3 linked regions of the Caenorhabditis elegans genome follow. The protein of the gene in region 1 purifies or fractionates together with the protein of each later gene. This does not show direct contact. Each region holds a gene or a part of one and is shown in the gene's direction. Other genes may lie near its edges.

The links. The genes of interacting proteins can lie anywhere in the genome.
Region 2: the proteins of sti-1 (region 1) and srh-56 fractionate together in Caenorhabditis elegans (co-fractionation; one large-scale study listed by BioGRID). This does not show direct contact.
Region 3: the proteins of sti-1 (region 1) and clec-137 fractionate together in Caenorhabditis elegans (co-fractionation; one large-scale study listed by BioGRID). This does not show direct contact.

The regions. Positions count from the first base shown.
Region 1 is NC_003283.11:770,226-776,992, forward strand, and holds sti-1 (Stress-induced-phosphoprotein 1), read left to right. Parts: upstream 1-3,292; 5' UTR 3,293-3,365; coding exon 3,366-3,377; intron 3,378-3,431; coding exon 3,432-3,558; intron 3,559-3,612; coding exon 3,613-4,095; intron 4,096-4,149; coding exon 4,150-4,490; 3' UTR 4,491-4,550; downstream 4,551-6,767. Other genes in the region: str-238 (Seven TM Receptor), read left to right, coding at 1,612-1,749, 1,794-2,248, 2,293-2,360; srbc-58 (Serpentine Receptor, class BC (Class B-like)), read left to right, coding at 4,770-4,944, 5,876-6,231, 6,608-6,709. UniProt on the Caenorhabditis elegans protein: Plays a role in gonad development. Up-regulates longevity and thermotolerance. Binds daf-21/hsp90 and inhibits its ATPase activity.
Region 2 is NC_003283.11:2,769,187-2,776,279, forward strand, and holds srh-56 (Serpentine Receptor, class H), read left to right. Parts: upstream 1-2,673; coding exon 2,674-3,019; intron 3,020-3,080; coding exon 3,081-3,271; intron 3,272-3,594; coding exon 3,595-3,825; intron 3,826-4,003; coding exon 4,004-4,082; intron 4,083-4,145; coding exon 4,146-4,333; downstream 4,334-7,093. Other genes in the region: dhs-15 (DeHydrogenases, Short chain), read right to left, coding at 30-262, 531-567; srj-18 (Serpentine Receptor, class J), read left to right, coding at 5,156-5,344, 5,390-5,449, 5,732-6,043, 6,084-6,185, 6,232-6,407, 6,904-7,072.
Region 3 is NC_003280.10:4,614,392-4,620,620, reverse strand, and holds clec-137 (C-type LECtin), read left to right. Parts: upstream 1-2,530; coding exon 2,531-2,698; intron 2,699-2,750; coding exon 2,751-2,862; intron 2,863-2,917; coding exon 2,918-3,176; intron 3,177-3,227; coding exon 3,228-3,402; 3' UTR 3,403-3,469; downstream 3,470-6,229. Other genes in the region: clec-139 (C-type lectin domain-containing protein), read left to right, coding at 1-55, 101-207, 252-332, 384-459; clec-138 (C-type LECtin), read left to right, coding at 821-955, 1,004-1,115, 1,205-1,460, 1,519-1,693; clec-136 (C-type lectin domain-containing protein), read left to right, coding at 4,088-4,216, 4,271-4,382, 4,440-4,698, 4,755-4,944.

The DNA.
Region 1 (6,767 bases):
TTTGAGCATTTGAAAATGTTATTTACAGGGTGAAGAAATGGCAAAATTGAACCCTAACGATTTTCTGAACCACAAACTGCTGGAAGTTTCGAGTTTGGATCAAACTGGTATACCAAGAACATAAATAAAAACCGCCCCCAAGAACATTCTATTTCAGTGTTTATCAACGTCAATCTCGTGTTTTCGGCGCTGAGCATTCAACATGGCTCGGTTAGATCAATTGTCAATGCTATGTCAAATCACTGGATTGACTACGTGAGCGATCAAATATTACGTTCTATTTTTGACTATTTAACATTTCAGCTGATTCCGAGAGAGCAACAAGGATCCTTCACGACAAGCAAAAAGACGGAGCCTCTTACTTTCTTCCCAGGAGACTTGACAAATTGGCCAGCCGGTTAGTTTATGATTTACATGGGCGAGCCACATAAAAATCGTTTTCAGCTCTTCTCGCTGCGGCAATCAAGTTGGACAACGACCAGGTGGACGTTACTCGCCTTCCAAGTGTGGTCAATATGCTGTTCAAGCATCATATCAAAGTCAGATTGTAGGTTTCTTGTTATTTACTTTAAAAAGCCAGCGAATAGAATTTTTCTTTAACTTGAAAAACTATGTTTTCACAAATGTCTTTTTGCAGCGATCATGCCCGTGGTTTGTATCGAACAAAACACGACGGCCAGAATCCACCAAAAATTGTGCTGCCAAAGCGTCCCATCATCGATTGCACACAATTCTACAAGAGCAGCGAGGATATCGATGAGGAGCAAGTTCCATCAACTTCGAACTTTCAATCATCTTCGAACTCTCTATCAACTTCGAAATCTGCTGGAAGGGAAAATATCCCAGACTCCCCATAAATTCACTAGTTCTCCTGTTTTCTGATACTTTCGAAACTTGTTTTTTTGTTTTTTTTTCCATTTTTCGTTAAATGTTTTTTTTCTGTTGTTTTTTCATTTTGTTTCATTTTCATAATAAATCGTGTTATTTTTTATGGTTTTATAAAAGTTTAATCCAATATGAAAGCAAAACTAGCTAGCAAGAAAGCATAACTACGTAGCAAAACATCACCGCTAATCAGCGGAAAAGCACAATTACTGCGGTTGACTAAGCCGTGACATAAATGCTAATTAGCAGTGATTTTCTATCGCTCTGCCGTGACTCCAGTCTATCTGAGGGGTACTGTAGGGGTACTGTAAGGGTACTGTAGTTTAGGAAAAATTGACTTTTCGTGTTTAGGAAGAATATTGGCTTGGGGTTAGACTGTCGCAGTACTGTAGAGGTAGTGTAGGATTACTGTAGTCTTGGAATATCTGACTTTTCGTTTTTTGAGAGGATATTGGTTTGGATTTAGTGGGGTTAGATGGTCGCAGTACTGTAAGGGTACTGTAGGATTACTATAGTTTAGAAAAAATTCACTGAAGTTTAAAGGAAAAGTCGTGGTGAGACCTATCATGGCTAAAGCCATTCGTTTTGGCGGGAATTCAAATTTTCTGACTATGAGAAAAAATTTTGGCAAGAAATTCAATTTCTGAGAAAATAAAACTTTCTAGAAAAATTTTGAAAATTGTGGAATTAATATAATAAAAATTTTAAAACGTTAACCTTTTTCAGCCATTCATTTCTTAAAACAAAATCACTCCGAAAAACGTTGATCTGGCTCTTGATTCCTGTTATCTACGGTTTCCTCTGGGCAGTCAATTTATATTGTACACTATGGGTCAACACGGATACTGAACAGATATTACAGGGGTGAGTAAAATGAAATGCTTGTTGTACTCTGTTGAACTTCTCAGGAATGGGTATTTACGCGAGAATAAGTTAAACATATCCGACGTAACATATATTGGGCCCAACTATTGGAAACTTGATGAAAATAGAAATGAAGTTATAAATTGGAGAACAATGTTGGGAATGTCTATTGCATCGACACTGATCTCGATTTCCTTCGCAATGATTGTCATTTTTGCAACTTTAAGCTACAAAGAGGTCTCCAAGCTAACCGAGCTGACTTCCCACTCCGAAAAATTCCGTTCAATTCAACTGCAACTTTTAAATTCTTTGGTGTTGCAATCACTTGTCCCGGCGTTTTTCATACAGTTGCCATCGTTCGTCCTATTTCTGGCGCCTTTTTTTCATTGTGGAAGGCCAGTGTTTGGCGAGATAATTGGTGTGACGGTTGCTCTATACCCAGTCTTGGACTCACTTCCAACAATTTTAGTGATCAAGGCTTTCCGTGAAGCAATATTTCGTGAGTAAAAGTTGCCAGCCAAATAAGTTGAGTGTATTTTCCAGATTGTTGCCCATTCACTAATAAAAATGCTACACTTCCCACATCCGTAGCACTGGTTACTATTCAATAATAATACATTCAATTTAAATGATAGAAAATGGACTGTATAACTTAATCGAAACTTGTTTTTACACTTTGCAAGAATCTGATTATTTTAAAATTTTTGTAGATCACAACGATATGGGACATTATGACACCACGAGAGAAATGTCTGAAAATTTACACACATCAAAGTATATACAATAAATCGGTCATTACGGCTCATTTTCTATCTTTTAAAGTAAACATTTTGCGTCAAGAATACGGTAGCCGGTCTCGACACGACAAGCCTTTGTCAAATGAGAAAAGGTGTGCGCCTTTAAAGAGTACTGTAATTTCGAGCTTTTGTTGGTACGGAACTTTTATCGATTTTTTTTTAGAATTTACGTGTTTTTATTTGTTTTATTCAAGTCTTTTTATTAAATAATAACAGTTGAGACGAAAATATGAAAACTCGATGAAAATTCCACAACAACAAGAGTTTGACGCTACAGTAATCTTTAAAGGAGCACACCCGATTACATTAAACAAAAATAGTCGCGTCCAGACCTGGTACCATATTTTTGACCAAAAATATTCATTATTCCGCGAATTAATGATAACAAAAGTCAGAATTTTGTTTAGTTTCGGGAAAATTCGGAGCAAAATTCAGAAAAATTCAAAATTTGACTCGATGCTCGTTATTTTCCGGAGTATCTGTATTTTTATCGTGAAATCCAGTTCACATTGGGTATTCCGGGCGCCTTTACTTTTCTTTTTTAAATTTCCTAATCAATTTCTATATTTTTATGTATAAAAATCGATCTAAAACGAAACGGGTATTATTTAAAATTCAAGCGTCTCCCGCCAAGCGATTATTTTCTCTGCGTCTCTCTCCTTCGCACACTCTCTGCCTCGCTCGCTCAATAGAGCGCGTTTGCCATTGGCAAATTTTCTCGAAGAATTCCTCATTTTCTCGATTCATTTCCTTCTTTTCATCGTTTCTGCTCACTTTTATCTCATTTTTTTTTCAGATTTTTTCAATATTTCGGCAAAAATGACGGACGCCGTAAGTTTTTCAACAATTAATCAATAAAATTCAACTAAAATTCCCTATTTTCAGGCGATTGCTGAAAAAGATCTCGGAAATGCTGCCTACAAGCAAAAGGACTTTGAAAAAGCTCATGTTCACTACGACAAAGCGATCGAGCTTGATCCTAGTAATATTACCTTCTACAACAACAAAGCCGGTAGGTTTTTATTTAAAAAAAACTGTAGATTTTCCCTAATTTTCCGAATTTCAGCCGTCTATTTCGAGGAGAAAAAATTCGCGGAATGTGTGCAATTCTGCGAGAAAGCCGTCGAAGTTGGACGCGAGACCCGTGCCGATTACAAGCTTATCGCCAAGGCCATGTCTCGTGCCGGAAACGCTTTCCAGAAGCAGAATGACTTGAGTTTAGCCGTCCAATGGTTCCACCGCTCGCTCTCCGAGTTCAGAGACCCCGAGCTTGTCAAGAAAGTCAAGGAGCTCGAGAAGCAGTTGAAGGCGGCCGAGCGTCTTGCCTATATCAATCCAGAGCTTGCCCAGGAGGAGAAGAACAAGGGAAACGAGTATTTCAAGAAGGGCGACTATCCGACAGCGATGAGGCACTACAACGAAGCGGTGAAGCGTGATCCGGAGAACGCGATTTTGTACTCAAACCGGGCCGCGTGTCTGACGAAATTGATGGAATTCCAGAGAGCTCTTGATGATTGTGACACTTGTATTCGGCTGGACTCGAAATTTAGTACGATTTTCTAATTTTTTTGCTCAGAATTAACTAAAAATTGTATTATTTCAGTCAAGGGATACATCCGCAAAGCCGCTTGCCTCGTCGCAATGCGTGAGTGGTCGAAGGCTCAGCGAGCCTACGAAGATGCTCTCCAAGTCGACCCATCCAACGAAGAAGCCCGTGAAGGTGTGCGTAACTGTCTGCGAAGCAACGACGAGGATCCCGAGAAGGCCAAGGAGAGAAGTCTCGCCGATCCAGAAGTTCAGGAGATTCTCCGCGACCCAGGAATGCGTATGATTCTCGAGCAGATGAGCAACGACCCGGGAGCCGTGCGAGAGCACTTGAAGAATCCGGAGATCTTTCAGAAACTCATGAAGCTCCGCGACGCTGGAGTCATTCAGATGCGCTAATTATTTGATTGCTCCCGGTTTTTCACCCATTATTTGATTTTTATTTGAATTTTTCTCCCCCCCCCCCCCCCCATGGTCTGTGTTTTTTGCATCTCGCTCGTCCTCTGGACTCGTCTTCAAAATATAAAAATATATTTATCGTCGTCGCAACTAAAAGACAAACAAAATCTCATTAATTTCAGACATTTTTTTGTACTTCGCACTACAAAATTGTTCATTCGACTGGAAGCTGAACCAAAAAATTCGTCGAAAACAAAAAAGTCACAACTTCCTTCCCTTATGTCTTCTTTGGTGACGTCGGTAGCGATTTCAGCGATTTTTTTCACCGAAATCAACGTTTTTCTGAATTTCTACCTGCTTTCTCAAATATTTATACGAAAGAAAATCCAGAAAAAGCCAGAATTATCACTGATTTATTGCCGTTTTCTAATCGACGTGATTTATTCTTTCGATAGTGAGTTATTTTTAAGCGGAATCTAGGAAATTTCTCCAAATTTGCCCGATTCTGCTCGAAATCGCGAGTTTCTTTCCCCAAAACCATTTTCAAACGCGCGCCAGGGACATTCTCATTGGAGCGCGCCGCGTGTGTCGATTTACGAGAGTTCGCATTTTTCTCGAGTTTTTTGCGGAAAAAATCGAAATTTCAATGTTTGAAGCGAGAAAAAGTGATGAAAAAAAAGGAAATTCATTGAAAAAATCGGAAATCTGAAAAATAAAATTTTCTTATAACCTGAAACATGGTAAAATCTTAATGTAAGTGTTCAAATTATCAGTCATACGTAAAAAACGGAAAAATTATCGGCAATTTGCCGGTTTGTCGGAAATTTCGAATCCGGCAATTTGCCGATTTACCCGAAATTTCGATTCCGGCAATTTGCCGGTTTGCCGGAAAATTCAATTTTAGCAATCTGCCGATTTGCCGGAAATTTTCAATTCCGGCAATTTGCCGGTTTGCCGGAAATTTAAATTTCGCCAATTTGCCGATTTGCCGGAAATTTCAATTTCGGCAATTTGCCGATTTGCCGGAAATCTTCAATTCCGGCAATGTTCACGTCACATATTTCTGGCGAAAAAGTTCCCGCATTTATTGTAGATCACACCGAAATGGGACAGCCTGGCACCGGGATTCCCAGTCAGGGGTTGGCGGCAAACAACTTTTCCGGCAAACCGGCGAATTGCCGGAATTGAAAATTTCCGGTAAATCGGCCAATTGCTGGAATCGAATTTTCCGGTAAATCGGCCAATTGCCGGAATTGAAGATTTCCGGCAAACCGGCAAATTTCCGAAATTGAAGATTTCCGGCAAATCGGCAAACCGGCAAACTGCCGGAGTTGAAATTTCCGGCAAATTGGCAACAAACAAGAATTAAAAAAAAACAATTTCAGCATCAATATTTTTGATTTATTCCCTGATAAAAACGCTTTTTCCCGAGTTTTCTGTGAAAAACCTGGCATATTTCGTCGCTTGGCCCGGCTTCAACTTGGGAACTATTCGCTGCTGGATTGTATTTTTTATAACATCCGATAGAATTTTCGCAACATGCGCTCCGATTTCATATCACAATCATCGATTCAAAATTCCGCTCGCCGTGATTATCATCCTCATCTCCGCGTACACAATTCTCGAGCAATATATTTTATTCGGATATTGCGATTTTGTTCTAGACGTTCCCGCCGATTGTGCCATTTTCCGGTGTGCAATTAATATTTGCTATCACGAGTATTGGAAAACTTTTTCGCAGGTTTCAATTTGCAGTGGTGGTGCCGCACAGAAAAAGAGGCGGACACGTGGTGTCAGGCTGTCTCATTGCGGTTTGATCTACAAAAAATGCGGGAATTTTTTTCCTAGAAAAATTGTGACGTCAGCACGTTCTTAACCATACGAAATCAGTTGAGAACACTACGTATCATTCTCCCGCATTTTTTGTAGATCAAAGCGAAATGGGACTTTCTGTTTAGACGTGGGCGGAGCGGCGTTTTGCAAACTTTTTGGAGAAAACTAGAATTTGTTGCTTTTCAGGGAAAATCATATTTTCTTGCCGCAGGTTTGCAAAACGACGCTCCGCCTCTTTTTCTGTGCGGCACTGCAAAATCAGCAGCTTGATCGTTTCGTTTTAGACGATGTATTTTTGCATTGGAACGTTGACATTTATTTTATTTTTTCGACTTTTCATATGGAATCATTTTATACTACGTTCCACTAATACAGCTATTTCAAGAGTGAGTTGCACGGTCTCGACACGATAAAAAATTTTTGAAATAAAGAAATTTGTCGTGT
Region 2 (7,093 bases), 2.0 Mb from region 1:
AAAAATTTTAAAAAGTCGAGAAATCTCACCAAAATATCGATTTTACCAAATCTGCTCAAAGTGCTCTTGATGAGCTCATCTTGACATTCGCTCTCATTCAAGTCGCCGAGAACAATGTTGATGTTGTCACTGGAGCCACCGTTTTTATGAATCTCATTCACAGTTTCCTGGATTTTTTCCGAGCTTCTTCCGGTTACCGTAACCTTAGCTCCCTCCTGAGCAAGGAGGACTGCCGTGGAGCGACCAATTCCGGAAGATGAGCCTGAACGTTATACTTTGAGAGACTTTATCTCCAAATTGGTCTGCCAAAACATAAAAAAAAGAGATTTTCAAAAGCTTAACTCAACTACAGTAATCCTACAGTAATCCTACAGTAACCCTAAAGTACCATTACAGTATTTCAACGCTACTCTAGTTAAACTTAATAAATTCCAAACAAATATGTTCCCCCAATTGAACAGACTATTTTACAAAATGACTGAAGGTACTGGATGAAAAATTTCACTACATTTTCTAAAAAAAACCCTTACCTGTAATTATTGCAACTTTATCAGAGAATCTACCCATTTTTGACAAGTACTAGATTTTGGTCACTAAAAGTGAATCTCAAAAATTTATATACTGCCGCGCACGCCCGCAATGTAATTTGTTCGTTCAAGTGTTGAAAATGGGAGGATCGCCAGACTGTGAGGTCGCGTGCCGATTAGGGTATCTCTCGATAAACAAATTAATACAGATTAAACTTTTTTTCGGTTTTGTGAGAGATGAACTTTGACCATGTAGACAAATGCTAGTTTTTGAGTTTTTTTTTCGGTTAAACTAAAATATCTAAGGCTCAATGTCCTCGCAGATTTTTGGACTCAAACTATGAGTTGCAAGATTTAATTAGCGGCTATAAAGTTTTGTGCTAAATTGTGTGCAAATGTTATTTTAGTGGAATTCGATTTATGACTCGCAAACACCAAATGGAAGGTAAATCTAAAAAATGTAAATTCTTTCATTTTGGCGCCAGAAAACTTTCGTACAAAAAATGTAGGAACACTGCAGAAAAATAATTTTTTATCCAGACAGTGGTTTTCTTAAAAAAAAACTTCGTACCTATAATTAAATTCTGATACCTCAAAAATTGAAAAATCGACCACACAACAGCTTCAGGACCCCTGAGGTTTTCAAAAACTTTACAAAAATTTACCATACTTTTAAAATAAGTATCAGATTGTTTAAATATTCAAATAACATTTAATTATGTAATTTGATGAAGAAGAAGTTTTTCTCTGAAAGATTCCTGGTCACGAAACATTTACAATTAACCATAAATCAAAAATTCAAGTCAGAAAAGTACTTGAACACGACCTTCTGGAGAAACGATTTCTGAGAAATAAGGAAATTGGGAAACTTGTGTACCCCGATTGATCAAATTAGCAGGTTTGTGGAAATGTATTACATCAACGATCAAATGTTTATCGGCGTGAAACAACTACCGCGCGGCTCATTTTATTGAACTTTTTGGCGAGTTCAGTCACATTTTGAAAGCTTTTACTTCTGAGTTTCATAAGTATGTAGTTTTTTGGAATATAACTAAATCTATTGGTTTCCAAAAAAATCTACTTAGATTTGGTAGAAAGTTCAATTTTTCTAGATTTGTTAGGTCGTCACTAAGTTTGCAAAAATAGCATAAATTTATGACATTTTCGAAGTTTGTTTGCATTTTTCTCGCTTCGGCAGCTAAGAAGCCACAGACAAAACACAGCAGGATACCTGATTTCTACTGCGGTGTAGTAGATTTCTGGTCAAATTAGAAGTCGAACAAATTATGAGGATCTACTTTTTTCAAACAACTATTCGAACTGAATCCGCTGAGTTTCTTCTAGCAATTCCTACAATTGTTTTTTTTGACATGTACCCCAAACCTTTGATTTTCAATTTTGACTTCATCTTCAGCACCGACTACTCTTAGTCCTTTCTTAGCCCGATAATTTGGATCAAACGTTACTTTTAGGTGGATAAGAAGCTCAATTTTTTTGAATAGGCCCTTGTTTGAATAGAATTAAAACCAAGTTTTTGTCCAATTGATAAATTTCCAGCTGTTGAACCTAGGATTCTGAAATGTTGAAATAAAAAGGTTTCTGTAAAAATTGAAGAACTAATTGTAAAGATTTTTCTGGTAAAGCCTCTATTCCGGACAAAAAATCAGGAAAGATGTGGGGTCCCATTTACTTTCCAATTAACCCGGGAAATGTCCGCTGCAAGACATCAGTTTTTTACACTTTTTTGCCGTATTGTTTTGCATCGCCAACCTAGATGATCATTTGATCTGTCACAAAACACATTTCCCTTTTTAAATGTCCCTAATCACTAACACAGCATTTAGCATTACATCGAAACTCCAAGTCAGAGCCTCCTAGAAAAATAAATTTCCGAGAAAAAAAAATTGAAAACTCCGCACCTCAAATTATCAAATTAGCAGGATTACGGTGGTATTACATCAACGATCAAGAATTTTTCGGCGCGTCCAACTCTACCGCGCGGATCATTTTACATGCAAATGGGGCTTTGAACTTTTAGGCTCTGGTTTTCTGGCTTTTTAAGGAATTTTTCTTGTAACGCTTAGCTTGTGAACACTTTCGGAATTCCTATCGAAACCTATTATATTAAACATCTTCCAGGAAACCAATGGCATGGCCAGACAACAACACCTCAAACTGCCGGGAAACCTACTCCTATTTTGGCTCGGCAGACTATCTGCGCAATGCATATCATTTCACAGCACTTTTAACAGTTCCTCTATCCATATTCACATTTTACACAGTTATAACAAAGACGCCAAAGCGGATGAAAAATATGAAAATCCCACTTTTAATATCCCTGGCTTGGAGCACAAATCTCGATTTGATGTTCACAGTGTACTCGGGGCCGTATATATTTTTTCCGAGTGCCTCCGGAGTACCCCTTGGGCTTCTAGGATATTTGGGAGTAGGTGTCAAGTGGCAGTCGTATTGGGGACAGGTTTCCGTCACTAGTAAGTTTTAGGATCTTTTAGGAAATTTAAATATAAATTTCAAATACCACATGTTTTTCAGTGATGGGTGTCTGTTTTATAATGCTCTATGAAAATCAACATAGTCAAATTTCCACGATTCGATTCAAAATCAAACGGAGAAAAACTCGTTTAACATATTTCGCATTAAACTATTTATTCACATTTGTTGTTATGCTTCCATTTTATCTAGACGACACTGACCAATTGAAAATGAGACAGAAGGTCTTGGAGGTTAGTAAAATGTACTAAAATGCCCATTCAGAGATATTAGAAATGTTCAAAAAATTTTATAAAATTTTATATTTAAAGTCAAAAATGTGAAAACTCTCAGTTTTCACATATCCTAATTTTGGAAGTCGACCAAAAGATTTTTTTTGAATTAATTGCGTTCTTATTAATAATATTGAAACATTCTAGGAGTTCAGATCTGCGGGAATTTTCAATTTTTTTCAAAAATGTCAATTTTTGAATAACTAAAAACTTTTGAAGTGTTTATTATATTTTTCGGTCGTGTGTATTTAACACCCGTCTTCAAATTCAACTTAATTTTACAGAGAATCCCCTGTCCGACGAGCGAATTCTGGGACCCAAAAACCTATGTACTGCTGCAGGGCGGAGAGGTCTTGCCATTCTGGTCAATCACAATTGGTTTTGGATTTGTTATTTTCCAAACTTTTTTCTTTTTGTTACACACCGTTTATCACCTCACACTAGTATCAAGTGCCAAAATATCGGCGGCGACGAAGAATCTTCAGCGAAAGTTTCTGAAGAATGTTTCTATTCAGGTGAGTATAACTATAACTGAAAATTAACTGGAATAGCCAAATGAAACTGCAAAAAAATGCAAAAAAAATTTAAATGGGTTTGTTTCAATTTTAAAAATTTAAAAATGTTTTTGACAAATTGAAAAACCACAAAATTTTTAAAATTTTAAACATTTAATTCTAGCATGTGTTTTTTTAGATCTCAATTCCATGGATTGCCATTGCATTTCCTGTGGCCTACACTATGTATGCAGACAAAATGAATTACTATAATCAAGGTGAGAAAGTGCAAATTATTTAAAAAAGCCAAAACATGGCTAACACGTTCCAAACTTTTGCAGCCTACAACAACAACGCTATGCTAATTATGGCAAATCACGGACTTCTATGCACCTGTTGCACCCTTTTTATTTACAAACCATACAGAGATTTCACTAAAAGTCTGATCCCTGGACAACGATTTTCACAACGGAGAATGACTATCATCGTGGAACCTGTGACGTCTCCACATGGAAGTGTGTCTAATTAGTTTTTTTTAAATTTTCGTTTTATTTGCCAAGCAAGATTTTTTTACAAATATTTAGTAAATATGTTTTTTTTGGACAAAACTTGACTATTTTCACTCGGGAAACAGATGCGCATCTTGCTAGTGAGAGCCATTTTGGCAATTTTGGCATATTCATCAATTTTGAAAAATTTTGGCAATTTCACGAATTTCAGCAATTTTGACAATTTATCCATATCGGCAAAGTTGTCAATTTTGGTAATTTCGATAACTCTAGGATTTCTGACAATTTTTTTCAATGTTCGCAAATTCAAACTTTTTGGCAGTTTTAAAATATTTGGGCAATTTGGACAAACTTAGAACTTTCACCAATTTCAGCAGTATCATGAATTTTGGCAATTTCGGAAGTTTTTTAACATTTTGGGCAGTCTTGGCAATTTAAGATTTTTGAAAATTTTCGGCATTTTTGAAAATTATGGCAATTCAGGTAACATTGCCGATTTCAGTAATTTCAACAATTTCGAAAAATTGTCAAAAATCGAAAAAAAAAATTTTCAAGTATCGAAGCGTGTGAAAAGTTTCTAGAGATTTCACTGACCTGCTACTTACTCACGCTTCACTGGAAATTTTCCGTGCTTGAGCTATGTCCTTGTTACATCATGTCATCGTGGGAACTAATAAGGTGTCTGTGAAAACTTGCCAAAAAATGAGACAACCTAGTATGTATAATGAGATTAATGTTAGGTACATTCTCTTTTGTTAGGCACGTATCAACACATTCTTCTCAGAACCAAAATTTTGTCATTTGACATATAAGCTGCTTTCGGTGAATATTCTACGCACTCCATGTTTATCAACTGGGCTCACTTTATCATTCCCAAAATAACGTTTATCTTGTCTTTCATAGCCAATCCTGTATTCGTATATCTGATACGTACGGAAAAAGTGATTCAATTCGGTGATTATCGCTATCTTTTATACTTTTTTGCAATTTTTAATCTTACTGCATCAGTTGTGGATATTTTGATACCAGCCGTAAGTTTTTCAATTTTTTAAATCCAAACTTTTCAATTTTTTCAGTGTGTTTATAGCTATCGTTATGCGGCTGTATTCTTCATTGTAGATAGTGTTTTTTCAGAGGTAATATCTTGAATGATAGAGATTCAAATTGCGAGTTCAAACAATATTATATTTACATAAATTGTTATCCGAATAATTAAAATCTACAACAAGTAATTAAAAAAAAAACTAAAACATTTCGACCGGTTTTGTTGAAAAAGGTTACAGTTTTTTTCAACAAAAAACAAACATTTCCAAAAAAAATTTGTATTGTGTGATTAATCTTTTTGAAGCACAACTACGAGCCTTTAAAATAGTTAAAATTGAATTGAGTTTTTTCGAATACTTTTTTCCTTTTTTCAGCGTTCCAACTTTGCCCCTACCTTAATATCCTTGCGATGTGCGTTTATTGCTGGAACCTATGGAATCCTCAACATTCATTTCATTTTTCGCTATAATGTCCTGAAAAATACAAGTTTTGTTAGTCATTATTTCATGCCATACGGTCTGATATTATCGATTTTTCTTGTGATATTCCATATCGGTCTATGGACGTTTGTAGTCGAGCCAACTATGTATTCGAGCGACGAATCAAGGAATTACGTGAGACAAGCTTTTCAAGAAGAATACGGCGTGGATGTGAACACAATTAGTACAAAAATTGCAGTATATGCGGTAAATGTCTCTGAAAATAAAATCGAAGCAATTCTTTTAGGAAGCCTCTTCAGGAATAGTTTTCCGAGCGTGGATAGGAACTGGAGTTGTGACAGTTATTGCTTCCTATTCTATGACTTTATATTTTGTCCTAGGTTATAAAGTGAGTTTCTAAAAATTTTAATTTGAAATTTTAAACTTTAATTCAGTTTCAGATAATGTCAGGTTTAAATCAAGGGTCGGCAACTATGAGTCTGAAAACTGCGCAAATGCAAAAACGACTATTCTGGGCATTAACTATTCAGACTATAATTCCGATTTGTGTCAGTTTTATGCCAGTAACACTGGTTCTTTATGGTTCTGCATTTTGCATAGACTTTCCCAAGTGAGACCAAAATCTATTTTTAAGAATTTCGGGAGTTGCTGAAATTGCCGATTTCTATAAATTTTGACAATTTTTCTAGTTTTTGAAATTTTTTGGCAGTTGCCAAAATTGCCGAAATTGCCAATTAAGGTAAAATGTACAAAGTGTTTTGCGAAAAACGCCAATATTGCTGAAATTGACAGTATATCCAACATAGCAGAAATAGGCAAAAATGCAAACTAGTAAAAATTACCGAAACTTTCGAAATTGCCAAAATTACCGAAATTGTCAAAATTTTCGGAATTGCCAAAATTGTCAAATTACCAAAAATTTCGAGGTTTCTGAAGTTGCAAAATCAACAAAAAATTATCAGAATTGCCAAAGTTGCTCACATTACCAAAATTGCCAAAATTACCAACATTGGAAAAATTCTCGCCATTGCCAATATTGTCTATGCCAAACTTCCAAAATTGGCAACTTCCCATTAATCTCCATTTACCCATAATATTTTTTTCAGCTGGATAAATTGGGGTTCTGCAACTGCAATTTCGTTTTTCCCATTTCTGGATCCTCTGGCTATTATAATGTGCCTACCAGCGCTGCGTCAAAGACTTGGCAGAAAAATTGGAATTCGCCCGTCTCAAGTTCAAGTCTCTTCAAATCAAATTAATACTATTGATGGCTAATGTCTACAAACTCCCAAGTGA
Region 3 (6,229 bases), on another chromosome or scaffold:
TTTCAGCGACTGGCGAATGAGAAAGTTTGGAGGACTTTGCGCAAAAGAAAAAGAGGTTTTTGTTTCGAAAAGTGTGTTTCAAGTATCCCGATCGTTTTAGCTATTTATTCTGGAGGACGATCACACCGATCCAGCGTTCATTCTCACAAAGTGGTCTGGAGAACCGCCAACTTCATCAGACAAGTATCAGGAGAAGGGGGACTCTACGTAAGGAACCCAGTGGGATAAAAGCTTCATGTTCTAGTTTTCAGAGAAATTTTCACAATCGCTGAATGTCTATCTCTACATAATCTCCAGGCAATCAAGAATACTGGAAATTTGAAGGATTTTTTGTGAGTTTTTTTTTTGCAGGATTTTCAAACCCAAAACTAAAAAAATTTCAGGTGCGGCGAAGAACCAGACAAACAAGTCGGCGAGGTGCCATTCTTCGGAGTTCTGTGTGGATGTGCTCCAGTATAAAATTATTTAACTAGTGCCAAATGTATAAACAATTTTTGAATTTTTTGAAGATTTTTCAGAGAAATCTGTCCTCGAGGCACAATATAAATTGTTCTTACAATGTATGCCTAGTTTGAAAATGTATATCATGACTCGATTTTTTTTGTGTTATAAAAAATTTTCCCTCTAGAAAAAGTTGAAAAATAGGTAGAAAAATAAAATGCGTCATTTCCGCCCAGCCCCCGAGATACCGTATCATTTTGATGTATTCGGGGAATAATGGTTCCGCAGAAACGGAATCATTGAAGGGATGTACAGCTTTTTTATAGCTTTTGACTAGTACAAAAGCATACTGAAAGCTTCTTCTTGAACTCTTCATAACATGTTAGTTTTATTCTTACTATTCTTGGTTGTTCCGGCGGTTTCTGCAAAGGATCCAAGATGCCCAAAAAACTTTACTTTTGTCAAAAGAACACTAACTTTTAAGAATAATTTTACAAAGGGGTGGTGCTTGGGGGTACGTTATTGATAGAGACAGTACCCAGTTTTAAAATACACTTTCAAGATTTTCAATGGAACGGATGTGGGAAATCGTGACCGAGCCCGCTCAGTCTGTCTCTATCATAACGCTTCGCTGAGCAATCCAGAAAATTCACATGAACTTGAGATTGTTTCTGGTAAGTTGATCATGTTTTTTTTTAAAGACATGTCTTCAATTCAAAATCGCTAGGAAAAATATGCTTCTAAATGTGTAATTAATTTTTAGACGTTATTCGCGCACGGAACATTTCCCTCCCGATTGCACTCGACGGACAACTCTCTCCAAGATGCAAGGCCCTTATTTTCAGAGGCGAACAGAGCCAACAATATTTTGACCAAAGAACAGAGGAAGGAGATTGCAATATTAACAATCATTTGTTTGTATATGATGATATCAATACAGATACTTTATTTATCCGTTCCAAACTAGGTACTTCGGCTGGAACTAATGGAGGATACTCCAGTCAGGAGGACGGAGTAAAGTAAGTGTATGAAAATTTCTAGATTCAACGTCAAACAAGTCTAGAATTCAATTTACAGATTTCGTTTCACCAGAGATTGTAACGCATTAACAGATGCATACTATTACTTTTCTAATGGAACACATTTCTATGCGGTAGATGGACGAACTGAATTGCTCGGATGCTTTGGGGAAAAGGATAAGCAAAATAAACACGAATATAGTAGTGTTCTTTGTGGAAGATTCCCTCTCTGAGTTAATTGATCAGAAAAGACAGTTGTTAATAAATATTTTGGAGTTGTTGTTCGAATTCATCACTTGTGATTATATCAGAAAATACCAATTTTGCAACAAACATCAGTCGAGGATATGCATAATTTTCATAATAAGTATTTTTTGATAGCTAAAGATTGGAGCTAATCATATTTCAAAATTTACAGAGACAGGACTATTTTAAAAGTAAACTACCCTGTAACAAATCAAGAGTTTCGAAGCTTGAAATCAAAAAAAAACTTATTCTTGTAAATCATTTTATATTCTACCTCGGAAGCCGACAAAAGCTTGGTTTTAAAAAATCTAGCTTCAAAGTCTTGTTTTCAACCACAAATGTTTGTGTACATAAATTTTTGGATAGGTATCATAACAAGCAAGAGGGCCTTATGTTAGTCATAGGCTTGCACTCAGTTGCTCAATTTTGACGGCTAATAACTAGGTTGTGTTTTGTTTTACCAAAAATTATAAGCTGACAAAGAATGTGTTACAAATTTCTCTACAGTTTTGGTGTTAAATGTTTTTGATAAAAGGGCTGAAAATGAGGGTACTTTTGTTAGAATCTTTATTAGATCAGATATTTTTTTGTTTCAAAGCGCATGGTTTCAATATTCTTGACAACTTCTATCAACCTACGTGTTATATAAGAATTTCTTTGAATGAAATCATCCAACCTGATGAAGAAATATAATGCGTCGTTTCCGCTATCCAGCCCCGAGATACAGTATCATTTTGATGTATTCGGGGAATAATGGCTCCGCAGAATCGGAAACGCTACAGGGGGCGAACAACTGTTTTATAGCTTTTGACTAGTACAAAAGCATGCTGAAAGCCTTCTATGAAGTTCAGTATAAAATGTTAGTTCTATTCCTACTATTTTTGGCAGTCCCAGAATTTTCTGCGAAGGATCCAAGATGCCCGGGAAACTTTACGTATTTCAAGAGAACACCGACGGCAAAAAATAACTTTACAAAGGGATGGTGCTTGGGGGTAAGTTGTTCATATCAATGACACCTAAATAGTTTTAAAATGATATTTCAAGATTTTCAATGAAACGGATCTGGGAAATCGCGACCGAGCCCGTTCAGTATGTATCTATTACAATGCGTCGTTGAGTATTCCAGAAAATTCACACGAACTCGAAGTGATTTCTAGTAAGTTTTTGAGGATTTTTTTATTGCTGCATGCGGAAAAATGTAAAATTTCCAGAGACTGCTAGCTTGAGAAACATTTCCGTACCAATCGCTCTTGATGGACAACTCTCTCCAAGATGCAAATTCGCAATTTACAAAGGACAAGTAAAGGGTGCAAAACGATTTAATCAAACTTCTGAAGAAGGAATTTGCAATATTAAATATGAATTGTTCATATATGATGATATTAATACGGATACTTCATTCATTCGCACAAAGCTAGGTGTTTCGGCAGGATCAAACGTAAGAAGTGTACAAGCTGATGATGATATCGAGTAAGTTTTGAAAATCGACTTTCCTATTTGCATCCAACATTTCATTTTCAGGTATCGCAGTACAGCAGATTGTACCGTTTTGGAAAAAGGATCGTATCACTATTCTAATGGAACACTAAAAGATGGGCACACTAATTTGATGGATTGTATGGGACAGCTAGCTGGCTCCAAGAGGCTACCAGAAAAAAATGTCACCGCCGTTCTTTGTGGCCGATTGCCGTTCTAAGTAAATGTATTCTATCATTTCTGGAAAGATTAATTTTCAATATTTAATAAATATTATATTTCCGAAATCTTTCTGATATTTCTTATTACCTTAGCTGATTGAAAAGATAAGGTACACCCAATTTGTTTCCGCAAGTGAACTTCAGGTTATTCTTAGGCGACGAAAATCCCTGTGCGGGTTTACAATTAAATCATTTTCGCAACGAAACATTTCCTTTTACAGAGTTTTGACAAGTGTGTATACCATTTTTGTAAACTAAAAGTCAATTAATTCATCTTAACTTTCGTCTCGAACTTTTCGTTTTTAAGTTCCATCTTGTTGATAATACGGCCTAAAAATTGTAAAAAATTTCTCAAAGCTTCCTATTTTCTGTGTCAAGAAAAATCGGAGAGCTCTACATTATCTCTTTTTTGGCTTCCGGAAAACTTTTAGAGTAAATTTATAATGTATAATTTATGATAAACCTCAAGAAAATAGGTACAACAAGCATCTGCTACGTCCAAATCAAAATGTTTAGAAGAATAAATACTACGGTAGAGCATTTTGTGGGTGTTGTTGAACATCACGCTTTTGTTGAAACGATCAAATGCTGTCGGAAAATAATGGCTCCGCATGGCTTAGTCACAATTTTATCGATTTCAATAGGTACAAAACCCCGCCGAAACTTTTCAAAACTGACAGAAAAATGTTCGTTTTCTTTTTGCTATTTTTGACTGCGGTTTTCGCAAAGGATCCACAATGCCCAGAAGGGTTTTCTCATGTCAAGAGAGTCCCAACTGCAAGGAACAATCATACAAAGGACTGGTGTTTGGGCGTAAGTTCCAAGTTTTGGGTTTTGTGTTCATAATGCTTTATGACCATATTTCAGGTTTTCCAATTCAAGAACATGGGAAACCGAGACCGAGCTCGATCATTTTGCAGTTATGTGAACGCTTCATTGACCATTCCAGAAAATGAGCACGAGATTCAAGTGTTTTCTGGTAGGGATATTTTTCAATAAAAACATTTTCAGTGTTGTAATCTTCAAAAACTTTCAGAAATCGCCCGAGCTCATGGAATTGAAGCTCCTTATGCTGTTGACGGTCAAATTTCTCCAAAATGCAACGGTCGTATTAATAAAGTCGAAATCATACTTCGTCATCGATTCAACAGTACAGAAGAAAAAGGAGATTGTAATATCAAGAATAATCTATTTTTGTTCGATGATGTCAATAGTGACACTACATTCATGCTGAGCCATTACAAACGTCGACTTCCAGCTGCTTATATGGTTCATCAAGCTGACAATGGTCCAATGTAAATTAGACATAATTATCAAATAGCGTGAAATCATAAAAAATCAAATATTACAGATTCCGATTCGCCGCTGATTGCATTGTTCTAAAATCTGGAATTGTCAAGGCTAATGGCACAGAAACAAGAAAGAATTGGGGAAGTTTGGAGTTTTGTGTGGGAAAAAATGCAGTGCAGGCTTATACAGACGATGAAAAACCATATGGAAACGACGTGGAAGCAGTTTTGTGTGGAAGACATCCACTTTAATTGTTTTGAGAAACTTATAAGAAATGTGGGTCCTAGAAATGTGATGCACCTTGTCTTTAGTTTTGATTGAAAATTGTCAGCTGAAAAAATAAATTTCAATTTTTTCTATAGTTTTGTAACTTAGTATTAAAAAAATAACATTGAAATTCCCTACAAAACAGTGAAAACTGTAAAAAACAAAAGCGAATAAAAAAAATCTCGAGTCTCGTTTCCCCCATTATACATAAGTACATCAATCCCTATCCTTTCCAACATAGAAAAAAAACACGACACGGTCTATATGATGCGAATATTCGGTAATACGCGATTTAGAGATGATGGAGGAAATAGATGGGACTGGATTTTTTGTCAATTTTTTTTTACAGTGATGATGATTAACTTTTTATGGTTGGGAGGTTTTTCACTGTATTATACATATATATGAATGGTTAAGCAGGAAATGGGGGTTAAAGTAAGTGTGAAAGGAGAAGCCTAGTGACATCAGCAACAGAAGATGCCTGCCGGTGTGCCTTCAAGGCAATCTAGGCCTACCTCGTGCCAACAAACTCCTGAAGTAGGCCAGACAGGTTCGAGGTATGTATGTAGGTAAGCACACATGCCTGGAGCTTAATGAAAACTTTATGGCAAGAAAATGATCTAAACACATGCCAAAATACACTAAACCCCAAAAAAACGGGAACTTTCGAGAGGCCCAGCTGAGAGTTTAACACATTTTGTTGAAAGTAATGTGGGTTTTATAGGAAATCTCTAGCGATCAAACACTCCGAAAACTTTTGAGTTTCATGCATCTTTTTGTGACGTACTGGAAGATTTGAAAAAATTGGAAAAATCAACTGGCAATAAGACGTTTAGAAAAGATGATTGGCAAAAAATGAAACTGAACATTCAAGTGACCAAAATTTGCCAAAAAAAGGAAAAGGAAACATTAATTTATAATTGAAAGATACTTAATCTAATAAACACACGAAACCATAACGATCGTATGAATCACTGGTTTCGAGTGAAGAGAGAGAACACTTGTAGTTTTCAATTCAAGTGAGGTGTCGAGAGTATTGACACATTTATATGCACTTATTCTCATGTTTTTCAAATGGTTTGAAATGCTCACTTCCTCATGTGAAGGGTTTATTAAAGTTCTTGGAAGTTGTGAAAATTAATTGTAAGTAAAAAACTCCGAATTTGTGCGCGCACTTGAAAATTACGTTTTAATTCGGATTTAGGATTTTTGCAACTATGATTTTTTTCAACTGCTCAAAAATTTAATTTTGTTTTTGAAATTTCCAAA